Lytechinus pictus: one gene and its partner. The main gene of each other region encodes a partner of the protein of the gene in region 2 in a complex. Links are inferred from orthologs where the notes say so. Each region holds a gene or a part of one and is shown on either strand. Other genes may lie near its edges. The genes, in order: eukaryotic translation initiation factor 4E-binding protein 1-like and eukaryotic translation initiation factor 4E-like.

Region 1 (7,904 bases), about 20 Mb from region 2:
TACACTTCTAAGCATCTTGCCCCTTGTTTGTTTGAATAACAACATCTTTATTCAGGAGATTTTAATAGAACCTTAGTTTTTTTTTCTCAATCTAGCTTATCTTTGGAGAATATGTTTGGAAAAAATACCCATATTTATGATAAGGTTTTGATTTTACATGAAAGGACATGATTGATACCATAATATTGAGAATAAATTCAGATTTGTCCCCATCAGGAACTTAAGTAAACAAAACAAACAGAACTGCGATGGTGAAATAAACAATTCAGGATCATTTATCTTCTTTACCCGCAGTATACATCTTTTCTTATTTTGTCTTAACTAGCCTTCTTAGACAGTTGTCATCTGTATGTTGGTCCTCCGTCTCAGATGTCCATTTGAAACTGATCATCAGCAGTGTCTAGTTAAGAGAATAAGACAGAGAGAGAGAGGGAGAGAGAGAGAGAAATGAAACATGTGTGAATCATAACAAGTGCATGCCTATATTTCATTCCGGCTAAACATGACAATTTTGTTACAATTCAAAAAATGAAATCTTCAAAAAAAAGTTGTCACATTGCATAATAAATTTTCATCAAGTGCTATTTATTCTTGAAACATCTGTGTTCAAACTACTAATATAGACTTAATCCAAAGGCCTGTGAATTCATGAAGTTCTGTAAGTTTTTGTTTGACTAGGTGTCTGGTTGACAATCACAAATCCAGGATTTTTTTTCTTACAACATAAAGAATATAAAAAAAATTATAAGGTAGCGACTTAAGACAGTGGAGACACCAACTTTTTGGTTAAAAAAGGGAAGTGGGCACATACCCCCCTCCCATGTATACAACTTCCCTGCTGTTAATAAATTATTAATTAAACCCAAGACTACCCAAGACCATTAGAAGCCATGGTAGTTGATAGTGCTGGTCGATATTTGATCTAAATGTGAATAGATTATTGCCAGAAAAATTTCGCTGATAACACAATATATCGCCGAGTCTGAAAATTCATTATATGTCCATTAAGAGTAGTGATTCCGCAAGAGCAGGGAAGGGGGAAATGAAAGAAGACTTCCATTGGTGCTTGTCCTTGAAAAGAGGGCATTTGGGCACTGGTCAACTAAACTGAGTTGGTTTAAAGCAATACAGAGCAGCATGCGGTCAATCACTAGTGATTATCTTTTCATAATAATAGTTTGGGCATATCGTGTTACTGTGATATATCAACATATTCATAAAATCATTATCAAATAATATTTTTCAATATCACATAATTTCGATGATATAGAATTTAGACATATTACCCAACACTAGCGGTTGATGCCGTTTTCATTGGCCTTAGCGGCCCTCTCATTAGCCTCAGAGATTTATTGTGCCTTTTTAGAATTTTTTTTTTCCATTTGAGCTGTAATGCAGAAACATACCTTCAGATGTTATGAAAGTGGCCTTGCCTGAAAATATTGAAATGTATAGTGTGTACCTGTTTTACTCTTTGGAGCCTTGCTTTCACCATTAGGTTTGTCACTGGTCACTTCTGGACAGGTCACTCCTGGAATTGAAGGCAAGTTCTTAGGAGGAGTCTGGCTCAGTGGAGAATTCCTCATATTCAACAAAAAGTGACGATCGTAGATGATGCGTGTTCCTAGGGAAAAAAAGAAGGGTGGAGATGCACAAGACTAAAGTAACCAGACTCTCAAGTTTCAGGTGGGCATTTTCATATAACAAGCAAATTTACGAACGACTGGTAACCCTTTCTTAGGAACTCAACACCAATGAAAATTTGATGTCTACCATTTACCACAAGAAAGGATCACCAGTTGTTTGTAACTTCGAAACAGCTTTATGAAAAACTCACCAGGACTGTAATTGTAATACATGTTGTATGGCAAACCATATTGATTTCTCGGTCAATATGAAATATCTCAGCTTCAAGATTTGTATTACAAGAGGATAAAGGAAGCTTGTGTTGTGTTGCTCAGCAGAGTGAAAAAAAAAGGGAATTCCCCATCTCAGCATCCTCATTTTCCCCTCTGTATGCAAGCATTAGTACACAAGCAGGCTTAATCCAATGTCATGAATCTATCACTGCACAGATGTGATACATGCGTGATGCCTCGTTCTAACTTCAGTTAGTATAGAGGGTTCTAGGTAGGTTGTTCTCATAATCACTTATGACACTGGATTCTACATGTTCTAAAGTTACTCCCACAAGCAATTGCGATTCCTGCTCATGCGCATTGGTATAGTACCTGTTTGGACATTTACTCATCAAACTAAAGCGATTAGCCCGAACATGATTAATGCTGATCTATTATTTATCATTTTTTTTCAGGATAAACCTAGCCTTGAGGACTCCTTGATATCTTACTAATATTTTTGACATTGTATTTTCATCACAGAGCTGAGCCTTGAATTTGAAACGGTGGGTATATTTTATTTTTAATTAGATTTAAATAGAAATAGAATCGATGTGAGTGCAATAACTTATTACAATAATTACATAGCCATAGCCTATAGGCTATAGGGCCTAATCTGACTCCATAGTCCATTTTTGATTTTTGATTTTTTTTTTTTTTTAGCTATTATTAATTCAATAATTGCAGACATTGTGTAAAATTCCTGGATCAAATCGGCCCTAAATAAGTAAATGCGGACGTTAGCTAACTATGGCTTAGTCCCGGGCTAAAGGCTTAGACTTAGTACTGGCCTGGGATCGGGAGGGTCGAAGACGAAGCCAGGCCTGTAGGCTGTACTCCTGTGTGTGTACGGTACGGTACGCACCTCCCGGGGTCGTTGAAAACAATGTGCCTCCTGGCGTTGTGCTGTAATCTTGTGGAAGCTGCGATGGGTCGTCGACGGCTACTCTTTTCGCTGGAATATCCCGACCAGCACTGAGTTGACGACTTGCTGCAGGGGCTGACATTTTGCTTGAATTTTAGAAGATTGCGGGGCAGCTAAAGTTGCAAAGGAATGGACGGTTCTTCGGGTTCTTTTGAAGGTAAATATTGTGATGACGGATTTAGGGGAAATCCGCATCGGACGATACAGCAAGGAGGTACGGTAACAGTTTTGTCAATTTTGTGAGTGATACAGAATTGCGATTTTCTCATATGTACATATTTGAAATATTTTGAAAAAAATAAAAATAAAATTGAATGCAAATAATTTTTAAAAGTAAAAAAACTTAATAAAATTGATATTTTTAAATTAATATTTGGAATATGTTATATTCTTACTAGATTGGCAAGTGCATTTGGGTAGGTTGAAGTTATCAACTAAAAATTGTCTTGTGGAAATTAACAATGTATTTTTTCAACAATTTAGTTTATGTGTTTAAAAAATCAGGGTTTTGAGAGGAAATGTAATACAAATTCTGTATTTATGTAATTAGAATAAATATCTGCTAATTTCAAAGGATTTTTATGGAGATAAATGGGAATTTACGCTTTGGATTTGTGCCAATGGGTCGACGACATTTGTCGATAGCATGTCAAGATGATGTAAACAAAACCACGTGATATCAGCAAGCACGCACACAACGCTATGACCTTTCAAGGCGATAGTTGAAAGTTCAGACTATTTTAGATGAATTATCAGGACGGACTGAAACTGCAATCTTCACCAAAATGGCAGCAGAAGCAGTGACAAGAGTCGTATTAAGATGTGAAAAGGCGCAAGAAGATAGAAACTTAGGTGATATTTTCGTTCTATTGAAATTGAATATTCGGGTTAACGTTGTAGGGGAAAATACATGAAAATGAAACGGCTAGTCTCCTTCAATTCAGCGAACTGTTGACTATATATCGGTTCGCCTCGGCCTCCCGAAGGCGAGGCCGTGTTCATCAGGCCAGGGCGGCGGGGGCGCTGGCCTAGCCTGGACTCTGTCCGGACGTTCCCTCTCTTAAGTGCCGAGATGGGCGTGGCAGCTAGCTAGACACGTCCATTTATTGTTTTATTGATGCCCCTATTTTTCCTCATTTACCAGTACAGTTAGGCCTACCTGAAGATTCAAGAACCAAAACATCAGATGGATTAATAATCAAAATAAAAGAGGATCTTGATTTATATTCATGATTAAGTTCTTATCTTACTTATAATTGTAAAGACATGAGGATTGAGGGCCTATAAGTTTATTAATATGTCTTGCACAGTAGTTTGTAATTTTTAATTGCAGTATTTTGTACATGTAAATGTAGTGAAATAAATAAATAAGAGCTATAATATATGCACTCTCTCAATCTTAAAAAAACAAAACAAGGAACATTGTAGGTGTTGGCATATAATGGTAGGCAGCGGCGTAACAGGGGTCGGTGGCCAGGGGGGGCAAGAGCCAAAAATTTCCCGGTCATACATGGAACAGGCAATGGCTTCATGAGGCAAAAATTTTGAGGGGGCGATATGGCGTATCGGGCAAATATATATATAAAAGCGAAGCAAGCGAGCAAAAAATGTTGACATTTTTATTGCAAAAATCCAATTTTGTGATAGATTTTGACATAATGTTAAAAAGATGATATTATATTTCACCCTCCTCTTCTTTTTTATCTCTTTTTTGTACGCCACGGTGAACAGGATTTTTGTTATGATTGTGAGCATCAGGGCGAAGCTCTATATGAGTATATGCTCGAGGGGGGCCGAGTATGGCGCTTCTGGCAAGAAGTAGCTTAATATAGGTCCCGAGCGAGCGAAGCGAGCGAGATAAAGAAATCACCTTTTCATGAGAATCTAACATGAAGATAGATTTTAACGTGATATTCAAAAAAATATAATACACTTTCCTTTCTTTCCTCATTTTTTTTTGTTTGGTTGTAGAACTTTTTGGGGCCATGGTCCAAACTCATCCATATAACAGTGCTTTATGGGTGGGGTCCAGGGCAGAGCCCCGTAACCTCTTGATATCAAAGCTATTTTAAACCTTACAGATGGCCACTTATTTTAATCAAATTGCGTGTATATTTATATAGCTTTAACACAACACATAAATTCAATACAGTTGTGTATCGTAATCATCCAAATATTGTGAGGGGCACACCATAGCAAATGTGGGAAAATTTGTAAAAAGTCGCCAGCGAGCGAAGCGAGCCAGAAAAAAAATGGCCTGTTAAAATGAAATTCTAATTATGTGATAGATTTTTACATCATTATAGCAAATATCATGTCATATATTTTTTTTCATTCATCCCATTTCGCTGCCTCCTTTATTTTTTTATATTTCCCCTTGGCTGTGGAACTCCCCCCCCCCCCCGGTACGCCAGTGCTTCAACATAAAGCTTAATGCAGGAAGGGTCCATATAGGGGCCCGTTATAGAACCCATTAAAGGTTACAGATGAAGAGCCCCCACTGCACGGGGTCTTGACTCTTGGACAGAGCCTTTGGAGATTTAGCAAGTTTATGATAAACTTTCATACGACATTATGCTATACCATCAATTTTCTTCCCGCTCGTTATCTCAATCCTCGGCAGCCCGGTAGTGTACGTTATCTTGTCCCTATTCTTTATTTTCCAATTAAGATTTTGGCTAATTCCATTCTGCCTTTATTTCCCGCTTTTGTTTGCCTTTTTGTCATCTTTAATTTATTTCCCTGTCTTACTAATCATGCTAATGTATTTTTATATCGGGGCGAATTGTTCTTTCTCACTTTTTCTTTTTTCCTTCCTTTTCCCGTTATCTTTCCGTTTTCCCTTTTTTATGTTTTTTCTTAGTTTTCTTTTCCCTTTTCCTTTCCCTTTCCCCTTTTTTCTTTCCTTTCCCTTTCCCTTCCCTCCCCTTTTTTTTTTTTTTCTCCCCGTTTTTTTGTATTTTCCCGGTGAGCTCCGCCAGGGGGGGCAGCTTGCCCCCCCGCCTGTTACGCCACTGATGGTAGGGCCTATTTATTTGCATCATTGACCATTCAAGTATCGTAATGTTTTTTTTCTTTCTTTCTTTTCTTTTCTTTTTACTCAACAGATTTATCAAGCTGTCTACTGGAGTCGGTTCCGCAAGCAGTTTACCATCTAATGAGGAAAACACAATTATCATCCATTGACCTCTCACATAATGCACTCACTATAATGTCAAAGAAACTCCCAATGAAATTTCCAAGTGTTACAGGTAAGAATTTTTTTAAAGCATATTTCCCTGATATATTTTCATTATTATTATTTTTTTTTCTTGTCGTTATCATCATTATCATGAATAATCACTCTTCTTCATTATTACTGATAATTTTATCATTATTATCATTATTGTTATAAAAATTGTAATTCATATTATTTTATTATTATCATTATAAATATTATCATCATCATTATTATGTATTATCATTATTATTATAATTGTTATTATTATCATTCATCATCATTATTATAATTCATTAATGTCATTGTTATTTAAAATCATTATATTGAACAGGGGGCCATGCACCAAAGATTTAAGGATAAGTGATATATGACAATGCAATTTGTAACAACACTAGCAGCTTTTATTTTGATATTTCACTTAATTTTCCCTTATTTAGTGCTGTATTGGTGTTTTGTTAATTGTATAGTAGATATTTATAGGTTTTTTGTGGTAAATTTGCAAAGAAGCGTAGGACTTCCACTAATAATTCATAAATATACAATTTTAGTTTGCATTGATGTGAAAGGTATTGATTGAAGAGATTGAAAGCATGCCAGGCAGTTCAGAAGTACAGAAATCCAAGTGCTCATAAACATTGTAACAGAGCGATTCTGTGATGCAAATGCTTGCCTAGCCTGAAATATATCCTTAATTAAAAAAAGGAAAATTAGTTTGGAACTGCCCATTCACTTTGATAATGACAATGTTATGATCATCAAATGGTCGGTGCATAGGTGATGGTGATGAGGTCTTGTAAATAGTTTATTGGTCCATGGTTTAAACCATCCTGGGTCATGCTGAAAAAAAGAACAATGAATCAGCCATATGTAAAAAAAACAAAAACATAACATGTCACATCATGTCCAGAGAGAACAATTCCATACACATGTCAGGCGTGGATCCAGAGTTGAAATTTTAAGTGGTGCTACAGGATCCATAATTTTTAAAAAAGGGTGGCACATTTTACCCAGTTGAAATTTGACAATAAAAAAAAAAGGTTTTCCCCTAGATTTAACTTAAGGTCAATAATTTGTCCGCCCAAAAATTAACAAGCAAAAAAAAAAGGTTTTCCCCTATATAAGGTCAATTCATCTCTCTTTTTTTTCTTAAAAAAAAAATCCTATGGGGTGCTAGCGCCCCTTCAGCCCCCCCCCCCCCTGGATCCGCGCCTGTATGTAAGGCATTGGTATGCATTGAATTGTGAATTTTTTAGGTGTTAGTGCATGCACTATCCTATTTCATTGTATTTTCTCTTCATGAAGCTTTTAATATTTCAGATAACAAAGTTGAGAAGATTCCAGATGAGATCAAGGAGATGACTATGTTAGAAACATTGAATGCATCTCATAACCAGCTCTCCACCTTGCCAGAGACTTTCTATGAATTGTCCTCTCTCAGAATATTAGATTTGAGTCACAATGATATTACAGGTTAGTATGTATATACATGTATTAAAAAAAAATAGATAAAGGGGAATCCGGGGGGGGGGGGAATCCTACCCAAATAAAATCTTGTTTTTAGAGGCAGAAGAAAACTCAGACAAGTTGTAGCTAAAAGTTTGAACAATATCGTACAAACTATAAGAAAGTTATGAATTTTTAAAAGTGAAAATTATTAATCACTGTACACATGGAGACTTCAAATTGGCCGCATATGTGATGTCATAGTGATGTAAGGCAAGAACTACTCTTCTATGTACTCTTATACCTAAAATAGCTTAAATTTTTTTTTTTTAAAGTTTTACTTCAAACTATATTTTTCTTTCATTAGGACATTAAACAATATACTACCTGAGTTATATTTAGATAACTGCCCCAGGGG
Region 2 (7,261 bases):
CTCTCCGACTCAGAGTGAGACCACCGTACCCTGAGACCACAAGGGTGCCTTCAGCTGGCCCTGGGTTTCCGCGCGAAATACCGTACCTCTTCGGCGCTTGAAATAGGACACACCGCAGCAGAATTCCCCGTAAATGGAGCACTTGCAAAGGCATCAACAGTGTAAATTGGTAAAGACTTTTGTTCGCTTCCGTCTGCCATCTTGAGCGTATAGATGTCACCCGAATATCAGTAAAAATTAATATTTTTTAGAGAGGATTACAATACAAGCACGAGTGGTCTTCTGCTACCGTCCCTCAGCAATGAACTATGAGGCCACGCACTACAACAGAGTTTATTCTTTCACCAAGTCGTTTGTTACATAGTGACATGTTGCATAAAAGAAAACAAATCTGGAAGTTTTTGCCAGAATTTTTGTTCATTTGCCAGAGGTTTTTTTATGGCGAAAATGTTATGCAACATGCCCCTAGCCTATGTGTTCTTTCATGATTAGTGAGAATCTGGGGTGAGAATACATCATTTCCTTTTGATAATTTAAATGTATCATGATAACGTTTTACTGTATAATAATAATAAACAAAATAATTGATAGGTAAAAATAATAATAATAATAATAAAAACTCCACAAAAGAGAGTACGGCAGTCATCTTGGAGGGAATTGCTGACCCCCCCCCCCCTGTACTTTTCACTTCTTTTCACTCAGGCCCCAAATCGACTCGGTTTTGTTTTCTCTGTTGTGATATTGCAGCAGAAAAAATTACAGGACCAAAAAAAAACTTAAAATCAAAACAAAAGCAGAAAGCAGGGGGAAAATACAAAAGAAGAGGTAAAGTGAGAAAAGGAAGAAATAGCGATCAGAAAAAAGAAGGAAGAAAAGAAAAGAAAAAAGAAAGACAAGACAAGAAGGAAATGAAAGGAAAAGAAAGGAAGGGAAGGGAAGGGAATGGAGGGAAAGGAAAGGAAAGGAATTGGAAATAAGAAAAAAAATAGCACAGAAAAAGTGAAGGAAAAATAAAGAAAATGAAATAACCTAAATGAAAAGAAGCCATTCTTCAAGTTTCAAAGGAAAAAAAACCACTATATATAAAAAAGCAGTGGCAAAATATCTTGACTGCATTTTTGCCAGCCAAACCAAACAAAGAAAAGAAGAAACAAACAAATGCTATATTTGGTTTCCTTTTAAGGATAATATATGTCACTTGTGAGCCAGAGGCCGAGGGGGAAGCATCCCCTTTTCTAAGGTGCGGCATCCGTCTTTTCTATATGCGCTATTTGTGTTGTGTGGTGTCATAAGCGGATCCAGGGGGGGGGGGACGATCCCCCCTAAATTTTTTGTTGATAACCTTTTTTTTTTTTGGTTGTCAAAAAATTGTTGTAGTCCCCCCCTAAAATTTTTGGCTTCCGCCGCCAATGCCCCCCCCCCCCCCTATTGGCGGAGCATAAAAAGGAAAAAAATTGGGAAATAATATTTAAAAAAAGAGAAGGGAAAAGAAAGGAGAAACATAAAAGAAGGAAGACGAGTTAAAGAATAAGATGAGGGGAAGACTTGGAAAATTATAATAAAAAAAATCTTTCGTGACACTATATAAAAGTTTCGCTCGCGCTTCACGCTCGCATTGCCTTTTAGGTGATTTATATACAAAACATATTTCAGCTCAGAAATCGAACTTTCATTATTTTGTTTGATTTACAAATTGATTTTTAAATAGTGCTCTGTAAAAAAATATATATTGTATGGCCTGAATATTAACATTTTCTGCTCTGCTCTGCGCACTCGATTTGTCAGGTACCTATTATTTTCCTGTATTCCATAAAGTTCTCAAAATATCCCTATTCAGGTCAGATTGTCAAAACGTATCAGTTAGCGCTGCACGCTCGAATTTTGATTGGTGGGTTATGTATATCTCAATATTAATTATATAACAAACCATTTCATGACAGTTTATCAAAAATTTCGGCTCGCGATTTGCGTTTGCATTGATTGTTGAAAATATATTAACTCATATCTTATTAATAATTACAAAAAGTGCTTTAGATGTCCAGTTTTCAGGCCATTATAGATTTCGGGCTCGCATTAGTCTTTTTATAGATTAATAAATAAGATATTAATTTAATAATCAAATCATCTCGCGCTTAGGAAGAGAAATAGGAAGATAGTCATCATTCTATATGATGACATATGTTCTTAAAGGTCAAATCATAAAGCATAACACTGAAAATTTCATCAAAATCGGATGTAAAATAAAGTGTGTGTATTTGAGTTTTGTCAGACGTGTATCAATCAGATATGATTATTTACGTCTGGGACCGACCTTTAACGTCACCATCCGAAAGACGTGACCGGGGCTCGATCACCTCGAACCTCTGCATCAATTTGTAACTTCCCCACATAGCTTGGATTACAGGCGCACGCAACAACGCCCAGTTATACGACTTTTTTAAGTTTCGCTTATTTTTCACAAAACAGTCATATGCACAACTAGGTGACTCAGTCGATAATGTCCATCACTCGCTATTTCTTTTGTTTTTTATTGTTTGAATTAATATTTCATTTTTTACAGATTTGAAAATAAGGACAAACTTGACTGAACCATATAGTATTAAACAATGCTAATTCCACATGTATTGTTCAGGGAGGAATTAATCGTTGTATCACTTGACAATGAGGAGAAAATTAGAATATTTCATATAACAAAATACAAAAGAAATAGTGAGTGGATGATGTCATAGTCTCCTCATTAGCATACCAGCCAGGATGTGCATAATTATAACTGTTTTGTGAAATTAAGCGAAACTTTAAAATGTCATAACTTTCTTATTTTACATCCGATTTTGATGAAATTTTCAGTGTAATGCTTGTTGGATTTTTCTCTATTTATTCAAATCAACTTTTTGTTGTGGTTGACTTGTCCTTTAAAATGTCCCGGTTATATGTCAAAAGCCAAAGTAATAGCATGGACCTACTACAGGGTAATAGTAATGAAACATATCAGCTCTTTTTTAAGTGTGATCCATGTCTGCCTCTCAATTTTCCTACAATATGCTTGAAATCAAGAGCTTAAATTGACCCCTTTTCAGATCGATATATCAAGCTCGCCCTTCGCGCTCGCTTTATTGATTTTCATGATTAAAAAAAAAGGTATTTAGAATGCCCAGATTCTAGGTCGAAATCTGAGACACGCGCGCGCATATATCTTATTCAGGTACGCAGCTTGCTCTCTCTATTTAAATCATTATCCAGTTTCAGATCATATGCAATATCAAAATGTTTCCGCTCGCATTATTAATGTAGGAACATTTCCAATTACTCATCTTTTTCATGATTTACAAAACATGAATAGATCGAGTGTCCCACTTTTAAGTGTAAATTTTGATTTTTTCCGCTCGCGCTTCGCGCTCGCATCAATTGTTTAGTTATATACTTATCCTTTTCACGAATACAAAAAGTGCTCGTAGAATTCCATACTTCAGGTAGGCATGTCAAAATTTTCAGCTCGCGCTTCGCACTTGCATTATTTGATTGTTGAAATATATGTAACGTCTTCTTGGCTAACGAGCAGCCGTTAATAAATCCTTTTTTGATCGGATCAAAACGTACATTACAAATTTCTGCTCGCGCTTCGCGCTCACAGTAATTATTTAGTTGGATACACACCTCATTTAGGATCACAAACATTGCCCAGAATGTTTAAATTTTAGGACAAAATACATGAAATAAAACATAGCTCGCGCTTCGCGCTCGCATTATTCAAATAAGGCTTAAGAGATTATATATTTATGTTGATTTATATAAGAATAAAGCTTAGAAGTGACAGGACTACCTCTTCAAATAAACAACCACTGAAAAGTCGATAATGTCTTTGTCATTTGCATGAGATGTGCATATGCGCAATATTCTACTTACAGTCGATTCATTGTGTGTTTTTTTTTTTTAATACAGCAGATCTGACAGATTATCCCCCCCCCCCCTTAGTTTGTTTTTTCTTTTGCACTCCTCCTCCTTCGAGGCACGACCCCCAAGACAAATTTGTGTGACGTTTATGTTCTACTTGGTGGTCACTTCATCAATTCTATTTCCACCTGATTGTACCACGTGACATTACGACAGAAGGCCAAAATTGGAACATAAGGAAAATGGCTTCCGTGAATATAGCAAAGCATGTTAATCTCGAGGTAATTTTCTTGCATTTCTGTACCATTTAACTGAGTTAACGATTAATGATCGCTTCCTGATATCATATGCTACGTTCACATCTCGTAATGATCGATGTTTTTATTATTTTATGAGATAAAAGCGAAAGAGTAAGGAGGCTCGCGGTGATAATTTCGCCGGTTGTCTTGCGCTGATATGCTGAGTTGAGTGGAACATGTGCATTGCCATTGTGCAGCCACGTTCATTGAATTGCTAGAGGTCGGAGTGAATTTCGTGTTGTGTTGGTATGTGAGCTGAGCCAAGTTTTTGTGTGGCTATTGCAGTCCTCCCCCAAAACCTAACTTTCATTACCAAAAAAACAGGAGACAGGTTTAGAGAATGAAGTAACGTTAGAGCTTCCTGAAACCAAAAAAGTGGAAATTTAACGTTTGTCAGTCAGTTGAGTGTGGCTCTGTCTCATGTCTGTGCAGTCTGTTGTGAGACTGAGACTGAGTGAGAGTTCAGTTTCCTTCCAGTTCTGAATCCCAATCCTCATCCTGTCATTTCTATTCTAACTTTTAGTTTTGGCAAGTGATGAAGTAACATGAATTTAAAAGCAGGTTAAAATATTATTAAGGCTAAGCTGGCAGCATGATGAAGACGATGCTGGTGTAGTGGTGATGAAAAGTAGATCTATTATCTAGATGAAGATGGTGACGATGAGAAAAATGATTATGATGATGGTGGTGATACTGTCCCTGATAATGGTGATCATTGGTGATGGATTGATGGTGGTGATGATACAAGCCAATAATGGCAGTTATCTACCGCGGTCAGATATCTTACCATTCTCAATCTCTGTGTAAGCAGGTTCATGAAAGATAGGAAGTAGATCTCTAGGCAGTATTTGAACTTGAATTTGAATTTTAAAAGGTAGGCCTATTTATTAGCGGGGGGCAGAATAGGCAGGTAGAGAAGTTGAATGTGATGAAGGGAGAGTAGGCCTATGGTGAAAGCCGGAGGTAAAAGAGGGATGTAATGGAAAGTGAAAAATATGAAAAAAGAAAGAGAGGCATATATAAATCATACATCGTATGCAAGTACATTTTAAAATTAATATGCATATCAAAATATAATTTTTGTAACTCAAACTTTGTTAAAATTTAGGAAACCACGCTGATGAGTAATGTGGAGAAAAAGTAGTATTTAAGAGATTGCAGTTTATGTCATGAGATAAGTAATATAATATGAATTCATAAGATTGGAGAAACTTAACAAATATTTAGTGGCAAATCTGCAATTTGAATATGATTAGGATTTGAATTTTGAAGAATATGGCATTGATTTCAGTGATGATGATGATGAAATAATAGTGATGATAATGATGATGATGGTGATGATGGTGATGATGAAATGATGATGGTGGTGTGATGATGATAAAAACACCAATAACAGCAGATATCTAAACATTTTCCATTTCTTCAAGCAGGTTTAAAGATTGAAAGTGCTCAGGACTGGATTAGAGTGGGGAGAAGGATATTTGGTGATGATGATGATGATGATTATTGATGATGATGATGATGATGATGATCTAAAGAGAAGACAGAACTTGGATATAAACAGAGGTTTAAACTTGCTTTAGGAAGCATCTTAAATGAGTATAATGATGATGAGGTGGCAGGGATGATGATAATTATGATGGTGGTATTGGTGATGGTGATGGTGATGATGTAGTAATGATGCAAACCAATCACAGTATTAAATATCATGGAAATAGCCTAGGTCTCATCACTGATTTCATGAGTAAGTCTGTTAAACCAAGGTGAATTATCACTATATCATCATAGATGATAATTTACATGTAGTAGTACAGTTACTTACACTGAACTTTGTGAAATCATGAAATCTAAGCTAATCACAGTGAAGATTGACTACTCAGATAATCTCTCTGTTCTATTATTGCTTGTTTCTCAGTAATTGCACAATTTCTCCCAGAATCCTGTGGCACGTATACGAAAAAGACACTTGGGTAGTCGTCTTATTGAATTTTGTACGCACTCATTTTGAAATCGTTGCCACAACTGGAATTTATTTTTAATCACATAGATAATGCTGATGTGATGTTGTTGGTTTCAATAATTCTCACTCTCTCTCTCTCTCTCTTTGTAACTCTCACAGGATATTAGTAAAGATGGGAAGGGTGTAAAGCATCTGCAGCAACAAGAAGAAGATCTCCAAAGCGACCAACAAGCCGTAGATCCAGAAAGTCTCATCAAACATCCCTTACAGAGCAGATGGTCTATGTGGTTCTTCAAGAATGACAAAGCCAAATCATGGACAGAAAACCTTAGAATCGTCACAGCATTTGATACAGTAGAAGATTTCTGGTCGTAAGTATCCATGGACCTCCAATTCACTTTGGGTTCCTTTTTTTAATAATGGCAATTTTAATTGGGGAGGGGGGGGGCTTCTAGTATGGCCAGGCTAGGAAAAGATCATTCATCTGCTGACCTAGCACCACACATGGCTCTAATCCTCTGGAAGTACCTTTGTTCTTCTTTGATTACATACATTTAAAGTTATAACATTTCAAAAACTTATTTTGTTTGAGTTTTCAATGTTGACAACACCGACGTCGGAACAGAGCCTTTAGTCTCGCTCTGCTTTGCAGGTGAGACAATAAAAAATAATAAAAACAAATTAAAAATATAAATTATTTGTGGTACATAATCATTAATGATTACAAAGACCACTCGTCTATGGAAACGGCATTTGGAATTTCCCTTGTATACATGTATGTGGCTTAAAACATGTTCACAGGGGCATCAGAGGAGGCCATCTTGGCGGCCATAGTCAAAGTGTTCTGCAGTGGCCCTTGACACAAAGCTGAGCGATTGGTGGTGGGTCTGATTACTACGATTGATTGCATCGATTATTGTGTATGATCAATCGTACAAATAAGCCATACAGTCAATAACTAAACTTTGTATTACCAGACACTGTAGTGGGATTCATCTACATAATGGAGAAAGCTGCCTTTATACTTGGCAGGTGATCTAGAATGTTTATTGCAACTTGAAAAAAATAAAATGCAAGTTTATTTTCAACAAATGAGATGCTTGCATTTGAG

The links.
Region 1: the proteins of eukaryotic translation initiation factor 4E-like (region 2) and eukaryotic translation initiation factor 4E-binding protein 1-like are in contact, whole or in part, in a crystal structure (PDB 4UE8), measured with the Drosophila melanogaster proteins. The link is inferred for Lytechinus pictus from reciprocal best matches to the Drosophila melanogaster genes eIF4E1 and Thor. Residues at the interface, in NP_001261626.1 of Drosophila melanogaster: Lys80, His81, Pro82, Leu83, Met84, Tyr91, Ile107, Thr108, Val113, Glu114, Trp117, Ser118, Leu119, Tyr120, Asn121, His122, Ile123, Lys124, Pro125, Tyr135, Leu174, Asp175, Leu178, Cys179, Ile181, Gly182, Glu183, Phe185, Asp186, Ser188; in NP_001285588.1 of Drosophila melanogaster: Lys51, Leu52, Ile53, Tyr54, Arg56, Phe58, Met59, Lys60, Leu62, Arg63, Ser65, Pro66, Leu67, Ser68, Gln69, Thr70, Pro71, Pro72, Asn74, Val75, Pro76, Ser77, Cys78, Leu79, Leu80, Arg81, Thr83.

What each region holds. Positions count from the first base shown.
Region 1 is NC_087262.1:3,356,412-3,364,315, forward strand, and holds the start of eukaryotic translation initiation factor 4E-binding protein 1-like, read right to left. Parts: upstream 3,045-7,904; 5' UTR 2,906-3,044; coding exon 2,764-2,905; intron 1,625-2,763; coding exon 1,463-1,624; intron 401-1,462; coding exon 366-400; 3' UTR 1-365. Other genes in the region: leucine-rich repeat protein SHOC-2-like, read left to right, coding at 3,609-3,675, 5,931-6,074, 7,346-7,513. UniProt on the Drosophila melanogaster protein: Repressor of translation initiation that regulates eIF4E1 activity by preventing its assembly into the eIF4F complex. Hypophosphorylated form competes with eIF4G1 and strongly binds to eIF4E1, leading to repress translation.
Region 2 is NC_087262.1:23,051,234-23,058,494, reverse strand, and holds the start of eukaryotic translation initiation factor 4E-like, read left to right. Parts: upstream 1-4,098; 5' UTR 4,099-4,133; coding exon 4,134-4,172; intron 4,173-6,309; coding exon 6,310-6,521; intron 6,522-7,261. Other genes in the region: phenazine biosynthesis-like domain-containing protein, read right to left, coding at 87-200. UniProt on the Drosophila melanogaster protein: Recognizes and binds the 7-methylguanosine (m7G)-containing mRNA cap during an early step in the initiation of protein synthesis and facilitates ribosome binding by inducing the unwinding of the mRNAs secondary structures.